Arabidopsis thaliana: one gene and its partner. The protein of the gene in region 2 interacts with the protein of the main gene of each other region in a pairwise test. Each region holds a gene or a part of one and is shown on either strand. Other genes may lie near its edges. The genes, in order: AT1G48450 and UBA1A.

What was found.
Region 1: the proteins of UBA1A (region 2) and AT1G48450 interact in a two-hybrid assay, tested with the Arabidopsis thaliana proteins (one large-scale study listed by BioGRID).

Annotation. Positions count from the first base shown.
Region 1 is NC_003070.9:17,905,126-17,917,663, forward strand, and holds AT1G48450 (alanine-tRNA ligase, putative (DUF760)), read right to left. Parts: upstream 5,349-12,538; 5' UTR 5,221-5,348; coding exon 5,089-5,220; intron 4,843-5,088; coding exon 4,547-4,842; intron 4,465-4,546; coding exon 3,621-4,464; 3' UTR 3,577-3,620; coding exon of another isoform or gene 3,533-3,576; 3' UTR 3,378-3,532; downstream 1-3,377. Other genes in the region: AT1G48430 (Dihydroxyacetone kinase), read right to left, coding at 1-24, 134-307, 505-594, 666-737, 847-894, 983-1,095, 1,176-1,239, 1,316-1,389 and 1 more; AT1G48440 (B-cell receptor-associated 31-like protein), read left to right, coding at 1,950-2,121, 2,261-2,343, 2,981-3,036, 3,124-3,202; AT1G48460 (tRNA-processing ribonuclease BN), read left to right, coding at 6,344-6,433, 6,529-6,571, 6,659-6,988, 7,349-7,689, 7,806-8,024; GLN1;5 (glutamine synthetase 1;5), read left to right, coding at 8,659-8,732, 8,886-8,925, 9,002-9,105, 9,208-9,256, 9,343-9,449, 9,670-9,757, 9,853-10,056, 10,223-10,276 and 2 more.
Region 2 is NC_003071.7:9,383,794-9,395,671, forward strand, and holds UBA1A (RNA-binding (RRM/RBD/RNP motifs) family protein), read right to left. Parts: upstream 6,714-11,878; 5' UTR 6,658-6,713; coding exon 5,614-6,657; 3' UTR 5,257-5,613; downstream 1-5,256. Other genes in the region: AT2G22070 (pentatricopeptide (PPR) repeat-containing protein), read left to right, coding at 1-2,169; AT2G22080 (uncharacterized protein), read left to right, coding at 3,172-3,300, 3,800-4,204; AT2G22088 (uncharacterized protein), read left to right, coding at 4,591-4,747, 5,009-5,256; AT2G22100 (RNA-binding (RRM/RBD/RNP motifs) family protein), read right to left, coding at 8,604-9,752; AT2G22120 (RING/FYVE/PHD zinc finger superfamily protein), read left to right, coding at 10,233-10,359, 10,655-10,740, 11,119-11,265, 11,371-11,479. UniProt on the Arabidopsis thaliana protein: Acts as a component of a complex regulating the turnover of mRNAs in the nucleus. Binds with high affinity to RNA molecules that contain U-rich sequences in 3'-UTRs. May function in complex with UBP1 and contribute to the stabilization of mRNAs in the nucleus.

The DNA of each region.
Region 1 (12,538 bases), on a different chromosome or scaffold from region 2:
TACAGCAGCACCAGGCTCCCCATGCTGAGAGAAAAGTCGAAAAACAGCGAGCAAAAAAAGGTCAAAATATTAGCAAGAGTAATGCTCTGACTTTCCTATGTCATAAAAGAAAATAAGAAGAGAAACAACATACAACTCCAAGCCCAAGTTCCATTTTCTCTGGACCCAAACGATCTGATGTAACCTGTCCTGGAAGCGCACAGACAGATAGTGCAACACCCATGGTTCCAACCATTTCAGATGCATGTTTTGCTTCTGCTGCAACTTCTGCTAGAGAAAGTCCAGCAGCAGCTGCTGCTCCAGCAACCTACCCTTAACAAAAACAATAACAAAGGATATAAAAATACAAAAGAGCACAAAAGAACCTGCCACTTAGACATCACAGACAAATATAAGAAAATGCAATAATAAAAAAAGATGAGGATAAGTGACTGCAAACACTACTAAGAAATGCTATCTTATAGTGCAGATAGAGGAAAAACAACATAGAAGAAAACTGAGAACCTTATGGACAAGAACTGTTCCCGCTAAACCTCTGCGCCCAGCTACGCCACGCGGCGGGGGTAGAGCACAATCATCTCCAACAATTACAGTCTACAAAAGGGATCATGTCATCCAATCCACCAGTGTTCTTACCAAATTCTAAACAATAAATATACAGTTACCTCTATATCGAAACCCTCAGTTTTTGCTTGCTCAGCTGCCAGGCCAAAGTTCAAGCGGTCACCAGTATAGTTCTATTAACAATATGTAAAAGAGAAACTAATTTAACCAAAGACACTGAAGGATAGTCTTTCAAAGCTATTGATATATACATAAGAATAAGTCTAGCCATGTTTTATTTACCGTGACAACCAAGAGGCATCCTTTTGGACCAGTTACAGCACGAATCCTCTGGAATTGGACAAAGATTCATCATTTTCTCGAAAGACACAAGAGAAGGAATAAGAAGAAGAAACGTTATGTGGGAAGAGTTACTTACAGCTAGGATGGAATCAACAGTTGGCGAAGCAAAAACATCTCCACAAATAGCAGCTGTGAGCATTCCTTCTCCAACATACCCAGCTTGTGCTGGTTCATGCCCACTTCCTCCTCCTGTTTCAAAAATGGCATTGCATAACACGAAAACGAAACTCAATTTGTAATAAAAAAGAATTGGACAAGTAAACTCCAACCTGATATAACGGCAACCTTGTCATAATTTGCAGCTGAGACATCAGCTCTTAGTACAACTTTGATCTGTGAATTCATCATAAATAAGCTGAGATTTTGCACACATCCATGGAAGGAATCGAAAAAAGTGAATTTTTTTAACCTCGGGAAGACCATCCAAATACTGAAGTCCAGGATAAGTTTCGACGAGACCTTCGATGAACTCGGTTACAACATCTGCAATAAACAGCTTATGTTCATTCTCTCTATCAATTGATATTTCAAGAGCATGCAACTACCATATATGAGATAAACTATCTAGAACAGAGAGCTAGCGATTCGAAACACAAACGGAGACGAGGGATCACGAACCGTTGGGGTTGTTGATGAATTTTTTAGCCGGAGGAACCATGGTGCTAGCTAGCTTTCAAGGATATAAAAACCATAAAATCGGAGAAGTTCATACGGAGAAATAAAGAAGAGAAAAAATTGAGACTTCAAGAGTCAACAATGGCAGAGAAGAAGAAGAGAGTGACTAGTTTCTGTATTTGTTCTTGAAAGCTAACCGTTAAATCGAAATAAACCGATAATCAGCACAATAAAACCGGTATATGGAGATATTGGGCCGGAGGTGAGAGCCCATTAAGTAAGAAAATAACTTAATTAGTAAGATAAAGAAAAAATGGTTAAGCATAGGCACGTGTTCCACGCACACGGTTCGTCTATTATTATTCTTCGTCTACTTCACACGGAATAGAGATAGAGAGAGAGAGAGATCCAGAAAAAGACGAACAACAATGGCGTTGCAATGGCTGATTCTATCGTATGTGGTGGCCGTCGAAGTAGTAATCACCCTCGTGTTGACTCTCCCTTACCCTATGCTTCTTAAGAAACGTGTAGTTCAGCTTGTCTCATTGATTCTCCAACCTGCTGCTTCCATCGTCGCCTTCGCCGGATTTCAGCTCCTCGGTAACCTCCTCTCCTCTCTCTCGCTCTATCTATCTATTTCGTAGTCGGAATATGTATAGTTAGGGTTTTGAGCCGCGAGTGATTCTGTGGATTTGGTACCTTTGTGTGCTTTTGCTTATTTGGTTTTGATTTCATTCAGATATTTACTGGAAGGCTGAGCATAGACTATCTTGTTCATCTGAGGTTTGCACTGCTACAGAACGTGATCGCTACGAGAAATCTGTAAGTACCATTCCTTGATCACCTTTGTCTTTGATTCTTCTATAGCTGAATTCTATGTGTATGAATCTTTTTTTGAATAGTAAATTGTTAGATTTGTGAGTTTCATCCTTGTCATTTTCTCCCATCTTTAGTCTAAAGATCAATATTTGTTAGTAAAACTTCTGAGAATTGGCTTTCTTTGTCTGAGGAAGTTGCATAGATTAGAGCTACAAAACACTGTCTAACTTGTTAGTGTCAATGCATTTTTTTAGGTCTTACCCTTCATTGATGTACTCATATATCTTTTAATCGTAGTTCTAGCTACTGTCAAATAGCAACATGTGACTTTCTTTATACCATCGGCACGATTGTCATTCATAGTTCAGTTTATACTTTGCTCTTGTGAATTGTTGGCAATTGATTCTTGGTGAAGCTTCATCACCACTCTTGGATGTTTAGTTCATCCCTCAGTTTTCTGGTCATGCACTGTATTCAAACCTTTTTGGGTATGCAGTTGCGAGTCGCCAGGATCAATTATACATAGTGAAAAACTGAAAATCAAACACTTGGATATTTAATTCACCCCTTAGTTCCTTCTCTTTCCCTGAAATGTCTCAGCTTGCTTGCTAACGAGTTGTGCGTTTGCATTGTACCACAGATCTACAAGGCTCAGAGGAACGTGGTTCTATGCGCTGCAGGAATTCTACTCTACTGGTAAGTTGTAACATCATCAGCTATTATCAGTCACTCACAGACAGGGTCTCGCGTAGTTTTATTGATATCTCTTTTATTCATTGACAGGTGCATCTACCGCATCTGCAAATACAACAAAGACCTGGAGCGCTTGGAGGCAACGGAGAAGAGATTCAAGGAAGAGTAATAATCTTCACGAGTATAGGGAGTTGGTTCCTCAAAACCATTATATAAGTAAAGCTTTTTTTTATTGCATTTTTACGTTCTAATATTATTGGACCTGAATGAAACTAAGAGTATCGTGAACAGCCTTTGCACACTATATGTGTATATCATCAGTGTCCATTTCTTTGATCATATTTCAAGAACAACCTTAATTTTTCATGTCCAGAATTATCATTTACAGACACTAATTTTGTTAAACAACAACGATGCACTTCAAGATGTAAACGAGAAGAATAACACAAACTGATCGCGAATGTAGTATTACCATAAAATGGGTATTGATATTAGTTGGTCAGTTCACAGTCGCATATATTACAAACAACAAATCCCCAAACCCTCTCAAAGAATGTGGCACATCCTCATAAACCACAGAGGCCATTTCAGTTCAGTACGAAGTGATACCTTGAGTCTACATGGCTCTCCACGTCCCAGAGGAAAGAACCAAACGTCACAGCCTCCAACACAAGCCTCTTCAATCCCTTGAAGCTGATCTTGATATGCTCGTCCTTCGAGGAATCAATAGTGCCTTGTGGCGTTATCACAATCTCTGGCCTCCCAAACAATGCTTCTGTATGCTTCTCAATTATCCCAACCGATTCTCTAGATCTTATTGTAGCGTACCTTTGAAGGGTTTCTCCATCAAAGGACATAACGTATGTCTTTAACCGGGATTGCTTCATATCACTGCTAAAACCGCCACTGGCATTGATCCCTCCTACAAACGAACCAACGTCTTGGTTTGAGGAAACAGCCTGATAAGTCTCTTCTGCTTCTTCATAGAAGTTTCTCTCTACATCTCGGCCTGCTTGCTCAATGCTAGTCTCACCTTCATCTGACCCACCTGGGAGAATCCTCATCGTCTTCTCAAGCTGAAACCTTTGATCGATCCTCTTCAGGAAATACCCATACATCACCGAAGCAGCATATACCTGTCCAACTCCAAGTTTGCTTATCTGCGCAACTGCTGTCAGATCATCAGTGCGGTTTTTAAGAATGATGGAAAGATGATTCTGAATCATCTCATAAACTTCAGGCGAGTGAAGTCTCTCAAGTTCCCCATCTAGAGTTGGCCAAGTATCAACTCGACCAGATGGATCCGCAGATGAAGAGGTTATGGATGGTACAAGTGTAACATTAGCATCCATGAACTTCTGAACCACTAACGCATACAAAATCTCTTCCAAGGCCCTTCTTCTCTCTTTCTCCTTAACTTCAGCAATTCTCCTAAAGACCCAAGAAACAATCTAATTCAATATCCAAACCTATATAATAGCCGAGTGGTAATTAATATCAGCATATGACAAACCTGTAGAGAACAATGTCTGTTCCAAGGACAGAGGATGCATCTTTACTCTGTTCTTCAGCGTCTCGATCAATTTGGAGCTGTTCAAGCTGCTGTTCAACAGCTGCTGGAACAAGATGAGGATGGCTCACTAATATCTGTGACAGAAACTGTCCCACAGGAGACTTCAACTGAAGCGGCGCGATTGATTCTGTTGAAGCATCACCAGAAGCTGAAGCTTTAACCACAAAGCTTCTCCGAGATTTAACACAAGTTGTTCCGCTTTGAAATGGTCTCGAGAATTTAAGAGAAGAGTTTTGCTGCATACAGAGAGACAACAGATTCAAATTACAATATAGTCAAGCCAATTTTTTTACTTATGAGAAATTTACACGAAGAAACCTTAAAAGTTCCATTTTTTTACACAGAATCTGAATTCTCGAATTTCATTGGAAGATATACGATTATGGGGTAGATTAAGCACAAACAAAGATGATTCGGGAAAGCTATAAATGTCAATGTTGTCTAGGGTTTAGTAAATCAAACTCAGTAGAAATAAGACCTACTCTGAGACGAAATTGAGGTCCGGAGCTAATTCGCATGAAGCCAGGACAGTTGGGCGTCGAAAATATCAACCTTTCGGAAGTTTGACGCAGTAAGGAAGGAGATTGAAACAAATTCGCCGCCACAGCGTCCATGATTAGCCTCTGGGAGAAGCAAAAAGTCGGAACTTTGGCCAGAGAAAGGAGAAATGAAGAAGAAACCTAGAATGTAGGAGAAGATGATGTCGATAAATAGTGATTAAACCGGTTAGTGTGGATGGTTTATGACTCTTATCTCTTCCAATAATACCCACTCACGTTTTTTCTTTTGATAATTACGGGAAATTAATTTCGTAATTTTTCATGTTTGACACAATAGAAGTTGGGCTCATATTTATATTTCTCAAAGCCCATTAAGCGGGATTTTAGACCATTATGGGAAACATATATAGCCCAGAATACGACCCATCAAGACAATTAGGGTTTCTCTCGCCTTTCGCGTCTAAAAAGTTTTACCCCAATCGGTGTGTAAGAATGTCGTCGTCGTTTCTATCTGATTTTTCGTTTCTCAGTGATTTCGTTTAAAAAAAGTTATTTTGTCTTCTGTGAATCTACAATTTTTTTAAAAGGTTTTTCGTTTTTGCTAATAAAATAAGAAAAACGGTGGCGATGATGAAAAAAAGGCCGGACTTACGGCTACTACCACCGTGAAAGTGTGGTGGGTAGTAGAATGATGCTAAAGTATCCAAAGGTTACAGCTGAGCCTCCTCTTTCTACAACTTCACCCATTTTTATCCGATCTTCACTATTATTTTGCCTCAACTTCTTTCTCAATCAAAGTTCGGTTTAACGTTTCGGTTCGGTTCGGTTATATCGGTTTTCGTTTTTTTTGTTAAATTTTTTGGAAAAGTATGCTGAATTGATCCGATATTAGGTTCGGTTCGGGTAGGTTCGGTTTTCGGGTAATTCGGTTTTTAACTGGGTATGTGCAAAAAAAACCGAAATAACCGAACAGAAGGAAATACATAAAAAAAAATTGGGTTTGTGCAAAAAAAAAAATTCAACTGGGCCAAGCTAAAATACATAAAAGGCCCATTGTAAAACCATAGAAAATAAATGCAATCAGAAGGACAGTTTAATTTTTAACCCATTTCAAAGAAAACAATTCCAAAAAATAAAATGTCAGAAAAGAATTTTCTTTTAGAATAAAGACAGTGAAGAGATTTATTTCAAAGCCTGGGTTTAAGCTGCTGAGAGAACACAAAAAACCCTAACAAAAATGGAATCGAAAGCAATTTGCTTAGGGTTTCTTCCTCCAAGACTTCGATTTTCATCTCCACGTTTACTCTCTCTTCCTCCTTCTCCTCCTGTAAGTGAAATTTAACCATCAAAATTTCATTTTTTTCCATTTCGATTCTTCCAAAACCTTATCCTAAAATTTGTCAATATCTCCTGATTCTATAGGCTTCTTCCACATTTGCGACGCGTCACAAACTTGATTCCAGACGTAAGTATCTCTATCTTAAATCCTCCTACTTCACCCAGATTGTAGCATAAAGACTGATCCTTTTTCTCATTTTCATTCTTGTTTAAGAAACCCTCCTTTGGAACAAACCGCAATTGAGCCGAGTTCGTGTAGCGTGTTCTTCTTCTCAATCTGACTCAAGACCTGAGAAGAAGCAATCGGATAAGAGTAACTATGCTCGAGCTGAGCTGTTCCGTGGGAAATCAGGTTCTGTTTCTTTCAATGGTCTGACTCATCAGCTGGTTGAAGAAAGTAAACTGGTTTCAGCTCCGTTTCAAGAAGAGAAAGGTTCTTTCTTGTGGGTTTTGGCTCCTGTTGTTTTGATTTCTTCGTTGATTCTTCCTCAGTTCTTTCTAAGTGGTATCATTGAAGCTACCTTCAAAAACGACACTGTTGCTGGTAGGTCAGGTTTTACTACTGCTTTAATGTTTAACATCGGATTATGACTTATATGAATCCTAGGAAGGAACAAATGGAGTAGAAGCTATCTATCTTAGTGGTGTTACATCTGCTAACTCATTATGTTTTAGTGTAGTAGGCTTTGGCTTTGAGGTTTTGATAGGCTTAGTACATGTTTTCTGATGTGCAATATTAGAATCCTTTTTTTCACTATTATCAAGAACACATGACCTGAGCCTTAGAAAGTACCTAAACGAGATCTCATAACTCTCCTAAAGCTAAGAGACTTAGCAAATGATCTATCTCTTGTTGTATGATACTCATTTTGATGCTCTCTCTTATTATAATTTCTTGATGCAGAAATTGTTACTTCTTTTTGCTTTGAGACGGTGTTTTATGCTGGTCTTGCGATATTCCTGTCTGTGACTGACCGAGTGCAGAGGCCGTACTTAGACTTCAGCTCCAAGAGATGGGGTCTGATCACTGGACTGAGGGGATACCTTACGTCTGCATTCCTCACGATGGGTTTAAAAGTTGTAGTTCCCGTATTTGCTGTTTACATGACTTGGCCAGCTCTTGGAATAGATGCTTTGATTGCAGTGCTTCCTTTCTTGGTTGGCTGTGCAGTTCAAAGAGTTTTCGAGGCTCGGCTTGAAAGACGTGGCTCATCCTGTTGGCCCATTGTTCCAATAGTCTTTGAGGTAAACTTATATTCTGATTTTGACCATTTTGGTCTTAAGTTTGTCTGCCCATCTTCTTGTGGTCCATGATGTTGTAGTCTTGTTTTGAGTAACTATGGTTGTGTATGTCATGGCAGGTGTATAGGCTGTATCAGGTGACAAGAGCAGCGACTTTTGTTCAGAGGCTGATGTTTATGATGAAAGATGCGGCAACGACTGCTGAAATAACAGAGCGAGGAGTTGCACTAGTTGGTTTGGTTGTGACTTTGCAGTTTCTAGCTGTTATGTGTCTCTGGTCGTTTATCACTTTTCTTATGCGCCTCTTTCCTTCTAGACCTGTAGGTGAAAACTACTAGATCTCAGTGTTTAGTGATTGTTAGATGTAGCCAAATCCCATCGGTTTTGTTTTGTTTCTGTGTTCATTTCAGTAGTAATGAATTGTATTAAGTCACTTTAAGAATTGGTTGATCATGTGAAATGAGAATTGGCTGGAAATGTTATAGAACGATCCTACTTAACTTCAGTATTTGATGAGATTTCTTATTGGAGACTCTTGTGACCCCTTCTCTAAAGTTTCAATGTGTGAAATCACAACATAAGTAACACAACAATAGATGGGTCTGGTCTCAGCTTGTGTTTTGGTCCTTTGTATGCAACAATAGAGAAGCTGAATGCTTATCCACGTGGAAGATTTGTGCCTCCGATAGGTGTCTTTAACAGTGTGACGTGTCTGTATTGTTTCATTGATGAATCTGTTACACCGTTGAGTGATTGATTCTCAAATAAATTGGTCCCAAAGCTTTTTATCAATATGTGATGGTTATTAATGGATACTTAATAAAAGATGCCATTATACTAATCAACGATTATTGTTGAGAAAACAATAAAATAGGATCTCAAGAGAAATAGCCGCTTCTATAAAAATAGTGAGAGTGACTGAGATCAATAGAACCAATCTCAGAATCATCTTCTTTCTCTTTCGGAACAAAAATGACGTCTCCTCTCTCAGATCTCCTAAACCTTGATCTATCAGACACCAAGAAAATCATCGCTGAATACATATGGTTCGATCCCTAATCATCTTTTTGTCACTTAAATCTATAGAAAAGTCTCTCTATAACTCGATGCATGTCATATAGATTCTTGATGTTACACACTTGTGATCTTGCATGTCTCTTTAAACAACATTGTTTTGTTCTGTTTTTTCATGAGAACAGGATCGGTGGCTCTGGAATGGATATTAGAAGCAAAGCCAGGGTAATAATACCATCACATTATGTCTCTCTAGTTTCTATAATAACCAAACAAAAATTTAAATTCTGTTTGTTAATAGACATTACCAGGACCAGTAAGTAATCCAACAAAGCTTCCAAAATGGAACTACGATGGATCTAGCACCGATCAAGCTGCCGGAGATGATAGTGAAGTCATTCTTTAGTAATCTTTTTCATCCCCTATTCATAACATTTATAAGTAAAGTGATATCAAAAGTATCTTTAAAATAATTTCATTTTTTTGGAATGAATTGGAAAAAAAAAGTCCTCAGGCAATATTTAAGGACCCATTCAGGAAGGGGAACAACATTCTGGTTAGCCCACATAAAATTTTGAGCAAAAGATTCATCTGTTTTATTGATTAGTGGGTCTTTAAAATCAATGTTCTTGAATATATCAGGTGATGTGTGATGCTTACAGACCGGCCGGAGATCCAATTCCGACCAACAATAGGCACAAGGCCGTAAAAATCTTCGATCATCCCAATGTGAAGGCTGAAGAGCCTTGGTAAGCTAAATACATAGCCTATAGAAAAATTCAAATGAACTATAATCGAATTTTTTCAGTTTGTTATGGTGTAGAACAAAAATACCATAGTTTGACCAATTCAAAATATATTGTAACATATATTAAAAGTTGTTTAACATAAGCACTGTTTTGGAATATATTTCAGTTTAGTTGATTCAGTCTAGGACTCATTTTGATACTTTGATGTGTTATATAATAGGTTTGGGATAGAGCAAGAATACACATTACTTAAAAAAGATGTGAAGTGGCCACTAGGTTGGCCTCTTGGTGGCTTTCCTGGTCCTCAGGTACACTTATGATAAAATTCATACACTAACTCTTATTACCAAGAACAAGTTTCTTATCTCGGAAATATTGCTTTTTGTGTGTTTTGATGAAACAGGGACCGTACTATTGTGCAGTAGGTGCAGACAAAGCTTTTGGTCGTGACATTGTCGATGCTCACTATAAAGCTTGTCTATACTCCGGTTTGAGTATTGGTGGTGCCAATGGTGAAGTCATGCCTGGACAATGGGAGTTTCAAATCAGTCCTACTGTTGGTATTGGTGCAGGTGATCAATTATGGGTTGCTCGTTACATTCTTGAGGTAAGAAACCATTACAATTTTATCTTTGTTTTTATCAAGTTTCATGGGCCCATATTTCTGCTATGTCCTATCTTATTATCGATGTGGCATTCCTAACAATTTCTTTGCGCTCAACTTTGGTTTCTTGCACTCTAATATGAATCATTGTGTTTTTTTTTTTTGGCAGAGGATTACTGAGATATGCGGTGTGATTGTCTCATTCGATCCAAAACCAATCCAGGTTTCGTGATGATCAAGACTGTTTTGTTTGTAGCTATAGCTTGAGAGTTTTCTTGAATGTTCTTTTGTAGTGAGGTTGTTATCTATGGTGGTTAATTAATTAGGGTGATTGGAATGGAGCAGCCGCTCATACGAACTTCAGTACAAAATCGATGAGGAAAGATGGAGGACTGGATTTGATTAAGGAAGCAATAAAGAAGCTTGAAGTGAAACACAAACAACACATTGCTGCTTATGGTGAAGGCAACGAGAGGCGTCTCACTGGGAAGCATGAAACTGCAGACATCAACACTTTCTCTTGGGTATATATATGAAACCAAATCATATAGTTACGTTTTGGTTTATGATCTATCTCTATGTAACTTTTATCTATCGAGTGTAGGGAGTGGCGGATCGTGGAGCATCGGTGAGAGTAGGAAGAGATACGGAGAAAGAAGGTAAAGGGTATTTTGAAGATCGAAGGCCTTCGTCTAATATGGATCCTTACCTAGTTACCTCCATGATTGCTGAAACCACCATCCTCTAAGCTTTAGACTTTTCTTCGTTTTGGTTCTTTGTATGTTCTTCGAATTTCGGTTTGATATGGTTTAATTTCGCATTTAGACTTTTCTTTCAAATAAGTTACGAAATGTTATGTGATTTCTATTGTTTGATCCGGTTACGGTTCACTTTTAAGCCAAAAAATCTACCGTTATGACTCGAATAATTTGTAACCATCATCCTCGGCTAAGCTTTTTAGTTACATTTGAAGTCATTCAGTGAAGGGCGTTTGCATTGTACCATAGCATCCATATTAGATTATGTTTGAATAAGGGCATTGACCAGGAAAAAAACAATTGAACGGGCCTGACTTTATTAGCCCATATATCAAATTTACCGTCCGTTATTGTTCTTTTACTTTTCTAGTTACGTGTTGGTCCAAAAGAAAGGATTGAGAAACAAGAAACTTGTATACATATCTAGAAGTTAGAACCCATTTCGTTTCAAGCCTAATTAACCTCTACCGTTATGACTTGAATTCGAAGCCGTGTCTATGCAAAAGTTGACCAAAACATTGATTTTTCTTTTCTTATATTCAAGATTCAAGCTATGTCATAGAAGCTACCCTAAAGCTACATGCCTACATTATGCAGTTTTCGTCCATTGATGATTGATCTGTAACGTTTAATTATCAGGTTATAAGCATACACACATTTTTTCCTCGTCTATGATACGGTGAAAGCATTAATATAAGCTATAAGATTATATATCTCGTAGTCGAATGTATAAGTATTTTTTTGTTTTTACTGAACGATGTATATATTATACTTGGATTAATATGGGCTTATAGAGGGATCTAATTAAGAATTAGACGTATCTTGTGGTCAGGTAAAGTCAGTAGATACGTTCACGAAATTCATGTAAAATATATAACTAAATAAACTACTTGATTGGTCCACCTGCACGCATATACTCAACTACATATATGTATATATATGTTCATGCATGTTACGTATAGTTTATTATTGTAAGCCGGTATTTTCTTCATCACAGAAATAAATCAATATAGACGCCAAGAAAAACAAAACCAACTAGAAAAAGTCATTTAATATTTGAATCTTTTACGAGAAAAATAGAATTATAAGTTTCTCGAAACTATCTAACAGAAATTCTCTCCGACCAATGAAGAATAATCAATCTTTTTGGGTATTTGCTCTGGTCTTTCACGAGCAAATGAAACTTATAATTAATGGTAGTATTTGGTGAGAAGAAAAGGAGCCAAACCACATGAAAGAAAAAAAATGTAAATATTAATTGTAGTTGTCGTTTCGTTTCGTGTAACGCCCAACCATGTATCGCAGCACGTTACAGCTTCCTTTTGTTGCTGTATGTGTAAATGATCTAACCTAATACCATACTATTGCAAAGAAATAAAACTATTCCTTTGTCATATACTACTAAATTCTAGGAATAGTTGACACATAACCATAAACTTAAAAGAATTTGTAGATTTCTTACCTCCAAACGGAGTAGGACATGTAGTACATCTTAAAACTAACAGAAAATAAAAACGTTACAAATCATGATCTTGGCCCCTTATAGATAGTCATGATAGTTATCGACAAATAACGTCTAAGCATGCATGCATATTATTGACAAATTACACTTGAGAAAGTTGTATATTTTGAGATCAAATATTTGATAATATGCGCATGCACAACTTATATGGCATCTAACAAATGGTCCCGGACTATAGTAAAGGATGATACATATTATAGGGCCA
Region 2 (11,878 bases):
GCTCTTCACGCACGCAAGCTGTTCGACGAAATGCCTCTAAGAACAGCTTTTTCATGGAACACGGTTCTTTCGGCTTATTCTAAACGAGGAGATATGGATTCGACTTGTGAGTTCTTTGATCAGTTGCCTCAAAGGGATTCGGTTTCGTGGACTACGATGATTGTTGGGTATAAGAACATTGGTCAATATCATAAGGCTATAAGAGTTATGGGGGATATGGTCAAGGAAGGGATTGAGCCGACGCAGTTTACGCTTACGAATGTGCTTGCATCGGTGGCTGCAACGCGGTGTATGGAAACAGGTAAAAAGGTTCATTCTTTCATCGTTAAGCTTGGTCTTCGCGGTAACGTTTCTGTGTCGAATTCACTGCTTAATATGTATGCAAAATGTGGTGATCCAATGATGGCAAAATTTGTTTTCGATAGAATGGTTGTTAGAGATATCTCAAGCTGGAATGCTATGATTGCGTTACATATGCAGGTCGGTCAAATGGATCTTGCTATGGCGCAGTTCGAGCAAATGGCTGAGCGAGATATAGTCACTTGGAATTCTATGATTTCTGGTTTCAATCAGAGAGGGTATGATCTCAGAGCTCTAGATATCTTTTCGAAGATGCTGAGGGATTCTCTGTTGTCGCCGGATAGATTCACTCTGGCGAGTGTGTTATCTGCTTGTGCCAATCTTGAGAAACTTTGTATTGGGAAGCAGATTCATTCGCACATTGTTACTACAGGGTTTGATATTTCCGGAATCGTGTTAAATGCATTGATCTCGATGTATTCGAGGTGTGGAGGGGTCGAGACTGCCCGGAGACTGATAGAACAAAGAGGAACCAAAGATCTCAAGATTGAAGGTTTTACAGCTTTACTTGATGGGTACATTAAGCTTGGAGATATGAATCAAGCTAAGAATATATTTGTTTCGTTGAAAGATCGTGATGTAGTCGCATGGACCGCCATGATTGTAGGATATGAGCAACACGGTTCGTATGGTGAAGCTATAAACCTTTTCAGATCAATGGTTGGAGGAGGGCAGAGACCAAACAGTTACACTCTTGCAGCAATGTTAAGTGTAGCTTCAAGTTTGGCATCATTGAGCCATGGCAAGCAAATCCATGGGAGTGCTGTAAAGTCAGGGGAAATTTATTCAGTTTCTGTCAGCAATGCATTGATAACAATGTATGCAAAGGCGGGTAACATTACATCGGCAAGCCGGGCATTTGATTTGATACGCTGTGAGAGGGATACAGTATCGTGGACATCCATGATTATCGCGTTGGCACAGCACGGTCACGCAGAAGAAGCACTTGAGCTTTTTGAGACAATGCTGATGGAAGGACTAAGACCTGATCACATAACATATGTTGGTGTTTTCTCTGCCTGTACTCATGCCGGTTTGGTCAACCAAGGTCGTCAATACTTCGATATGATGAAGGACGTTGATAAGATTATACCTACCCTTAGCCACTATGCTTGTATGGTGGACCTGTTTGGACGTGCTGGTTTATTGCAGGAAGCACAAGAGTTCATCGAAAAGATGCCTATTGAGCCTGATGTAGTGACATGGGGTTCACTGCTTTCTGCTTGCAGAGTTCACAAGAACATCGATCTTGGGAAAGTTGCAGCAGAGAGATTGCTTCTTCTCGAGCCAGAGAACAGCGGGGCATACTCAGCCTTGGCTAACTTATACTCAGCTTGTGGAAAATGGGAAGAAGCTGCTAAGATAAGAAAATCAATGAAAGATGGAAGAGTAAAGAAGGAACAAGGGTTTAGCTGGATTGAAGTGAAGCATAAAGTCCATGTCTTTGGAGTGGAAGACGGGACTCATCCAGAGAAGAACGAGATCTACATGACCATGAAGAAGATTTGGGACGAGATCAAGAAAATGGGTTATGTTCCCGACACAGCTTCTGTACTACACGACCTCGAAGAAGAGGTTAAAGAACAGATTCTAAGGCACCACAGCGAGAAACTAGCAATCGCATTTGGACTAATTAGCACTCCGGATAAAACCACATTGAGGATCATGAAGAATCTCAGAGTGTGCAATGATTGCCACACGGCTATAAAGTTCATTTCCAAGCTTGTGGGAAGGGAAATCATAGTGAGAGATACAACAAGATTTCACCATTTCAAAGATGGGTTTTGTTCTTGCCGAGATTATTGGTGAAAATAAGGAAGATCCAAAGAATTCTCATAAGGTCTAACTCAAGCCATTGTACAGAACAGATTCAGGTATGGCTTCGTTGGAGGGAAACCAACAAAAGTTTTCCTCTTTCATTGTTTAATTGGTATGTAAGTTCCATCATCATCATAGTTATTGAGCATTAGAATAAGATGACATGGCATGTGAGTCTTTAGTGCTAAAGGAGAAGGATATAATGAACGATTGAGATATTTTTGGGAAAAGCATAAAGAGGAAATGGAATTGGAACAATCAGAAAGAAGTATAGAAGAAGAAGGAGAAGAAGAAGAGAATATGGTTCTGTTTGTTACCAAAAGCTTTTCTTTTTAGTTTTTACTAACCATTGACTACATACATACATTAATACATAGATGAAGAAAGATCTTGGTCGGCATAAAATGTATGACTTAACAGAGAGAGCCCACACTTGTGTAGCTTACGTGGCAGGTCAATTAGAGATGATCACATAGAGTCACTGCCCGTACTGCCCTAAGGATTCGTAGTAACAACTACGGGCAGCTTCACACTCTTCTCTTTCATCTCTCATCTCTCTCTTCTCCTATATCTGAGATTCTGAACAACTCTTCTTTGATCACAAATCTCACACTTTTTCCATTAATGAACAGAGCTCATTTCTTCTAGTCCTTTTCTCTTTCTTTCTTCCTTTTTCCGCTAATTACAGAGCTTTTCTTTGGTACGTTCTTCTTCTTCTTGTATCTGTTTATTTTGTTTCTTAGATTATTGTTTTGTATGTTGTCAAATATTGAAGTAGAGGACAACCTCTAAACTTGGTTGTTTCCTCTGTTTTTCATGATTCTTTCTATGATTGCTCTGTTTTGTCTTTTTTTTTTCTCGTCAATAACTTCAAAACGAAGATTGCTCCATATTTGATAAATGGACAAGAAAGTTGTCTGAAAATTTTGCTTTAGTTATTATTATTGCAGATCTAACGGTTTTCATAACTGTTAAATACAGAGTGAAGAAAGAATGGAGTTGAAAGAACAAGGTATGAGTATGAGGTTGTCTCTGGTTCTCGGTAACGCTTTAGTGCTAAACTGCGCCGCTTTGGCTTTAACGGCTACTATGCTCTCTTCTTTGCTAGAGCTCTTCTCTCAGGCAAGCTTTTTCTATTTTCAACTTTTTTTTTTTTCCTTCTTAACAAACGTTTACAAGTATTCGCGGTCGCACAAAACAACAACTTTATAAAAATAGATTTTTTTCTACACAAAAGTTTCACACAAATTTTTTTGGCTACAAAACTAAATCTTGACCGACTTGAAGCGTTACTTCATCAGAATGGGTGGTTGGAAAAATATATAAAATTAAAAAGTTTTGGTTAAATATTGTGAGGGTATGTATATAATAATAGCTATTAGTTGAGGACGGTTGCTTTTAATGGGGAATATTAAGATAGATTTTTAAAATCTAAATTATAAATTGTAGGTCCAAAAAAAATCAAAAAGGTATATTCCATATATTATGCTTCCAAGTTTTTCAAATTTAATGTCTAGAAGAAGCCCATGTCCTAATTTAGTATGTCGGCCCAATTTGTAAAATCATGTTAACTTGGTAAAAGATTGTTTCTGGTAGTGATAAAATGAATATGAAGCTGCAGGTTACTGTCTTGAAGGGTGATGTTATAGAGAATGGATATGAGGTGGTTGATGCAGTGGAAGGCAATGGAAACAATGATGATAGTGGTGATGATGGAGGAGAAGACGAAGAAGGCAGTGCAGATGATGCAGAAGGAAAGGAGACCAAGAAAGGACCGGTAAGTGATCCTGATTTGAACGGTGAAGCTGGAGATAATGATGATGAACCTGAAGGGGATGATGGTAACGATGACGAGGATGATGATAACCATGAGAACGATGATGAAGATGAGGAGGAGGATGAAGACGAGAATGATGATGGTGGTGAAGAAGACGACGATGAGGATGCGGAGGTAGAGGAGGAGGAAGAGGAAGAAGATGAAGATGATGAGGAAGCGCTTCAGCCACCAAAGAAGAGGAAGAAGTGAACAAACCGCTTTGATCTCCTAACATTTTAGATTCAAAAATCAAAACTTGTTATCGGTTTTTACCTGAAGAGGAGAGAATCTTAAGGCATCATCAGCTTTAGCTTCAACTGTGTCTTTGTTGTTCCATAAACCAAGACTTTGTTTAGTGTAACATTTTCAGATCCAATGGCACCAGCTTTCTTTTCTTTAGCCCATCATTAATGATATATGCATATCTCTATGAGGTCATCAAATGCGATCAAATTTATATAACAACTTCAAGGGTCAACTTTAGCTGTCATAAATAGTTAAAAGAAAGTTAAATCCTATTGAGTCCTCATAGAGCAAACCTTTTTCCCCAGAGGTCACAATACAGATTGCACAGAGGTCTTTAACGAATAATCACAATGATATTACTTGAGCCACAGACTGTCTATCGTATGATATCGGACAAGAGTGACATCAAACAGAAAAAAAAAGAAAGGAAGAAAAAACAATACAAAAAAAAACTAAAACGTACTGACTTTGATAGAAATGTTAAAAAGAAATCCCCAGAAACTGCATGTTTATCATTCTCATGCTCAGCCCACACCATCTGCAAAAGTTGGAGTTCAAGAAAACAAAACAAAACATAACTCTATCAAAAGCTGAAGACAAAAAGAAAAACATATGGAAACAAGAGCAATGCTCTATCTTTCTGGTAAGATAACCCCGAAAAGTGAAAACAATAGAAATCAAAGGGACAAACATAAAAAAAATGTTAAAACTCAAACTTAAGTCTAAAACCATGAGTGCAACAGCATGAACAGATGCTATAGTTTACAGTCCGTTTAAAGACGTTAGCACCAAAACCAGATGAGTGGAGAGATGGTGGACGTTCAGTTTATAAAACCCAGTGCAACACTAAAACAAAAAAAGCCAAGAGACAAAAAGAATGTAACAATATTCGTCCCCACCATCACCAACCTATAGAGAAACTAACTTCGATAAAACAAATGGCACTTGAGAAAACTGTAAAACCAGGGACAGTAAAGAAAAGAAAACAAAACATAAACCAACAAAAGGAAAAATAATGGAGAAAACAAAAAAAACAAAAGTATGGTGGGTCACATTGCATCTACTTGAAATAGAGTCGAAGCAAGATTCATGAATAATGAATTACGGCAACCGATGACAATGCTAACCTACCTCTAGAACATAATTTAGGTATTTAATTCCTGTAGCAGTTCCTCCTAGGAATATACATATTTAGGCATTTAAGCCAACTATTTGACTAGAGAGGCATAATAATGTCAGATAAAATTCCGGTACTACCACAAAAGCCTTAATCCATTTATCTACACATGACGGAGCTACAATGAATTTATGCTTATCCAAAGACATTCAAACCACAATATTAGCACAAACATTGCTACAAAACACCAAAGGTTTCAGTGAACGTACCATGAATAGTTTGAGTAGCCATGAAAGGAGGAGCCACCAGCATCCGAATCTTTACCCGTCCCTCTTTTTCCACCAGCATCCGAATCAGGATAAGTACTAGGCAGACTCTGACCTCTAAAGTAAGAACCTAGAGCTGAAAGACCAGCAGCACCAACGCTTGGATCAACACCAATCCCACCCATTTGACTAGACTGTACCATATCAGAACCCAACCCGCCATGTGCTAGAGCACCCGCTAACATCGGATACATGTAACCTCCCCCAGCTGCTGCTGCTGCTGCTAAAGCTGGATTTCCCAACATCCCAGCTCCATAAAGCGGATGGTATTGGTTCCCTAACATAAACGGCGAAGCAGCCATTCCACCACCGTTAAACACATGTTGACCTTGTACCTGCTGTTGCTGAGGCTGTCCATGATTAGCCATCGAACCCATACTAATCTTCACCGGACCAGGTTGATCATGCCCCTTTCCTGAAGCCGCAGGACCCATAGAAGCAAGCTGGCAAGTGGCAGTTCTATTAAGAATCCTCTTCTTCGGTTCTTTAAGAGCTTCTTTAGCTCCTTTCCTAGTCTTGAACATAACAAATCCAAACCCTTTAGCCTTACCAGTAGCCTTATCTATAACAACGGTACACTCTTCAATCTCACCATAACCTTCAAAGACTCCAACAAGAGTCTCGCGAGTCGTCTCCCATGGAAGACCATAAACGAAGATTTTCCTGTGTGTAACATCACGATCTGCGGCTTCTACGACGGCGGAATAGATCGAAGATCCGATTCGAGAAGCGGAACAAACTAGATCGACAAGCTGGTCCTTGGAATAAGGTTGTAGAAGCTCACGGAGCTCTTCTGGGTCGAATTCGTTGTCTGATTCGGAATCGCTAGAATCAGAGCTGGAGCTTGAACTTGAATATGGCGTTGAGGATTCTGGTTGTTGTTGTTGTTTGTTAATCTTCTGTTTCTTATCGAAATTCGTGGATTTGGATTTCACGAGTTTGCGCTTCTTAGATTTGTCTAGGGTTTTCGCCATTGTAGTAGAGGATAAACGAGTCAAGAAGCTTTTAGGGATTTTGATTTTTGATTTTTGATTTCAGTTTCCTGTTTCCCCTCGGGTCAAGAGTTCGATTTACTTTATCCTCGAGATGTCGTTTTTCCGATTTTTTCAGTTTAATTTTTTTTTTATTCGAGTATTTTGCTTTGAATATATTTTCAAATATTTAGATTATTTTTGGATTGGTTTATTTTGAATATTTTTATTATTTTACATATTTTTAAATATTTGCTTTATATTTAAGATAAGGCCTTAGATCTTTGTAGAGGTTACATGGCAAGATGCTGGCTTTAAGTTATGATGGCTATACATCAACCGGAATACCATAAGCTCCCTAACTTTACGGGGTGTGAACTTTGTGGTACTTTTCTTTTAGAGCGCCGTCAGAAAAGATTCCTGGCTAGGCAGAGGTTTTAGCCATATTGGTGGTGTCGCTCTGCTACTTGTTTATTCATTCACCAGTTGAAACTTTTTTTTCTTTCTTTTTTATCTTTATGTGTTATGAGAAACTAAAAAAATAGTCACCGAGATCTTAGAGAGGGTTTTGTTTTTGTTCTTAAGATTTTCAGAGTTTCCCCATTGGAAAGAAAAACAAAGCCCTCATAAGATCATGATCACAAAACAACGAAATCAAATGACCAAAACCAAACCAAAGTTGATTTAGCTGAAGCATACTATAGATTAATACGAGTTGATTCATATGGATGGATGGATAGCTGCAGAGAAGACCAAAAACCGAGAAACAAGATTGATCCTCTTAAGAAATCGAAAAACTGAAAACAAGATTGATCCTCTTAAGAAAACAAGCATTCGCATCATCGGTCACTGTGAGGTCATTGTGAAAATCCAAAGAAAAAAAAAAAAAAAACAAGTATGCTTTGCTACCATAACCAGAGTTATATAGAATATGAATAACGAGCAGGTAAAAAAAAGGTAAATCCAGAACAAAGCTATGTAAGGTGAAAAACAAATTGGGTCCAAGTACCGATGACCAAAAACAATCTTGAACTTAGGCAAGAAAACTTGGCAACTGATATCAAAATGGACTCTTAAATACAAAAGAGAAAGGGGCGACACTACCATAAAAGAGGAATGTGATGAAAGAGATTGAGAAGCTTATAAAAACCTATGGGGAAGAAAACAATGCTTGAAGGAAAGAAAACTCAGGTTGTTTATTCCAGAGAAAATCAACTTGAAGCTTTTGAAAGAGTCCCAAAACTTTTTCCAGTACTCAAAAAGACAGATTTAAAACAAGAATGTAAAACCATTATGTCTGATCCTACAAACGGGTCTCAAGACAACTGCAGCTGGAAGATACAGACTTTTGGCAGTTATGACATATAGTGGACAAAACTATAAATGTCATAAGCTTCTTCTCCAGCTATAGCGAACAGATATTCAATGAAAATGCGGGAAAACATAAAACCAAAAACAAGGAAAAACAAAAGAGAAAAACATACGCCATGCCACAGAAGAAAACCAGACGTGAGTTTGATGGGTAAGGAGAAGACAGAAGACCATAATGGGGGACTCCAAAAGGGAAAACAAAGAGATAGCAAACTACTTTAAACCAATATTGATCCTAGTAACTAAATCTTCTAGACAAAATGACCACATTTCACTGGTTTATGAGAACAGAGCAGAACACCAATGACAGACTTCCAGAGAGCAACAGAAAATTCATCCTTTGAGCACACATCTCCCTCAAAATGGCTCATATAGGGGTAGATACCTCGTTAAAAGAGACTATAAATAATGAAACTAAAAAAGTAGGTTTGAAACATCAGGCATAGAAAATAAAGATCCGCAAAAAAAACTCCTGCAATTCCCAAAATATCAAGTTGGAGTCGAAGATACCGGACTAATCATTAGCCTAATCTATAACTTGAAATATCAGAGAACATGGTCATACCACTTGGGTTCTCTTATCTCAGATACCAAGCACGTTCACCATCAAAACCAGCACCAGCACCAGCACCCGCACCAACACCGTTAACATTACCATCACCAACATATTGTCCCACCATTCCCATATGATTCGGTGGCATCATAGGTCCTTGATTCATCATACCCGAGCCAAACATACGATAATTCTGTAAACCAGCAACCATCGGATTACCCATCATTGCACCATACATAGGATTAAAACCAGGAGGAGGCTGAGAATGTCCATAAAAGGGCATGTTCTGTCCAGCATACATTGACATATTCTGCTGCTGCTGATGTCCCTTATCAAGTCCATGACCCAAATCAATCCCAGGCAAAGCCATTTCACTCTGATTACCCGTATGACTCAAATCAATCTTCACAGACTCAACCGGTTGTTGTTGTTCTCGTGGCTTTCCAGAATTAAACGGCCTAGCTGGTAAACAACTAACAGTTCGATTATACATTCTCTTCTCCGGATTCTTCAACGCCGCTCTCGCTCCTTTACGCGTCTTAAACAACACAAAGCCAAAACCTTTAGCTCTTCCTGTATCTTTATCCATAACCACAGAACATTCCGTTATCTCCCCATAAACCTCAAAAGCCGCCTTGAGATTCTCATGCGTTGTATCCCATCCAAGACCACGCACGAATATGTTCCGTTGAGAACTATCTCTATCCGCTGATTCAAACACTGCTGAGATCAATTTAGAACCTTTCTCAGCAGTTTTGTAAATTAGGTTAATAAGCTCCTCTTTAGAGTAAGATTCAAGTAGATTCTTAATATCTTCCTTATCGAATTCGAAATCAGAATCAGACTCAATGGTAACAATCGGGACCGTAACAGGCTTTGAATCGACGATCTCTTCGGATTCATCTGATGATCTCTTATGTTTCTTCTTACTCTCCTTCGATTTCTTAGGAGATGGAGATGGAGATGGAGATTTCTCCTCTTCTTCTACTTCTTCGTATTTCTTCGATTTCTTCTTTGATTTCTCTGGTTTCTCTTCCTCTTTGGATTTCGATTTATGTTTTTTTGAGATTTTCTTCTCTCTTACAGCGAGTTCTTCAGCTTCGCGACGCTTCCTCTCCTTCCTCTCCTTCTTCTCTTTCTTCTCCTTCTTACGTTCTTCTCCTTCTTTCGCCATTGTTGACGGCAGTGGCTACCAAAAAAAACACTCTGAATAGAGTAACTCCTCTAAAATAGGGTGCACCAGAGAACACTAGATTATTTAAGTATATTTATAATAAAGTAAAGAGTCTAACAAAAACGTCTGGGTGGTGTAGTCGGTTATCACGCTAGTCTCACACACTAGAGGTCCCCGGTTCGAACCCGGGCTCAGACATGCTTTTTTTTTTGCAACACATAATTTTTTTTTTTAACATGAATTAGTAGAGGGGCAAAAACGTCAAAATACAGAAAAGGAAAAAGATACAACATTTCTGGTTTTTGTGTGCCGGCGAAGAACCGGTGAGTGACGGGTCAATTCACATACTTGTTTAACGGCAACAAAAACCTACCGATAAATGCTAAACTAACGAAATCGGATCATAGCTCGACGAAGTCTCGATCTTTTCTATTCTCTCTTTCTGGGTATTCGTGGGTTTTACCCAGATTTCGAAATTGAATGGCGGACGAACTGGAATTGTCGCCGTTGGTTCCACCGTCGCCGATGGTCGAGCCTTCCGAGATCGATCTCGAAGCTGGAGGACCTGGTGAACAAATTCAGTGCCGAATCTGCCTTGAAACTGATGGTAATGTCTTCTAAAACCATTTAGATTCGCTTCTTCCTTAAATAGATTCTTTGCTTCTTGCTAGTGATTGTTGAACATTTTCATGTGCTCATAGATATGTCTAACTTCAGTTCAAGAATTCGGATTATGAAATTCGAATTGGCTAGATCGTTAATGGTTCTGATGTGATTTAGATTAGTGTTAGTGATAAACTCTTTTTTTATAAAAGACTAGTGATTTAAAACCGTGATATAGTGAGAGAGCTTTTGTTCTAACTTACTTGGTTGATTCAAGCTCATTTATTGATCATGGTCAGGTAGGGATTTCATTGCCCCATGCAAATGCAAAGGAACATCAAAGTATGTACATCGTGATTGCTTGGATCATTGGAGAGCTATAAAGGTTCCATTTTTTCATACGCTTTAGCTCAACTTGGGTCCATGCTTGGCTGTCGTTAGTGTTACTTGAAACTTGAAAGCTATGAATGCTCGCTTTCACTCTTTGACTATTTGTTGTTATCCCTTCCATTTTCAATCAAATATGACAACCTGTGTAAGTGTTATTGAATAGGAACTTCCCTTTTGTTGTAAATTTCTATTTTTGTTGAATACGAAAACCATTCGAAGGCTAAACAACTAAAGAATGATGGTTTTGGATGTGAAATTTTCAGAGTTGATATATGTTTCATGAGTGATGATTAGAGTGGTGGTGTTTTTGGTAGTATCATGGTAAAATAATGAATAGCAGATGTTGACGCCTGGTAAGCTCGTTTTATTGCAGGAAGGTTTCGCGTTTGCGCACTGCACAACTTGCAAGGCTCCATATTATCTGAGAGTTCACAGTGCTGGAGATAGGAAATGGCGGACATTGAAGTTTCGCTTCTTTGTTACTCGAGACATTTTATCCATATTTCTTGCTGTTCAGCTTGTAAGTATTCATTTTTCATGTGTGCTTCTGTTTCTTACAGTAGTTTTTCTTTCATTTGGTAATATATCTAACTCATGCCTTTTAAATGACTTCATCTGCTCACAGGTGATTGCTGCATTGGCCTACATGGTCTATTTCATAGATAGTTACCAGCAATCATGGCTTCGTCATATATGGGGTTTTGACAGTGAGGTCACGTTTTATTACATGTGTGGTATGATCCCAAACTTTAATATCTAAATAAATTCCCCTCTAGATAAGATAATATTTTTTAGTAAGACCTCTGCCAAGTGTAGTTGGTAAGACGGGAATGCTAAGTTTATTATTGTACATATGTCCTACAGTCCTTGTTAAAGCTTTGCTTCAATCAGAATCTTAGATTCCAATGTAAGGAGTTTGCTATTAGATGATTTCATTGCCTCTACGTAGTAGGAAGTGAAGCAAGGGTTTTGTGATCAGTTAGATTTAGATCAAAAGTTAAGGGGTTGGCTACGTTACGAATATACAGTTAGAGTTCTGGACCTCGTAGAATTTTTAACTAAATAAGAATTTTCAAAGCAAGTGTATTAGAATTTAGTAATTAAAATTTTGTGTTTTACACAGCTCTTCATGA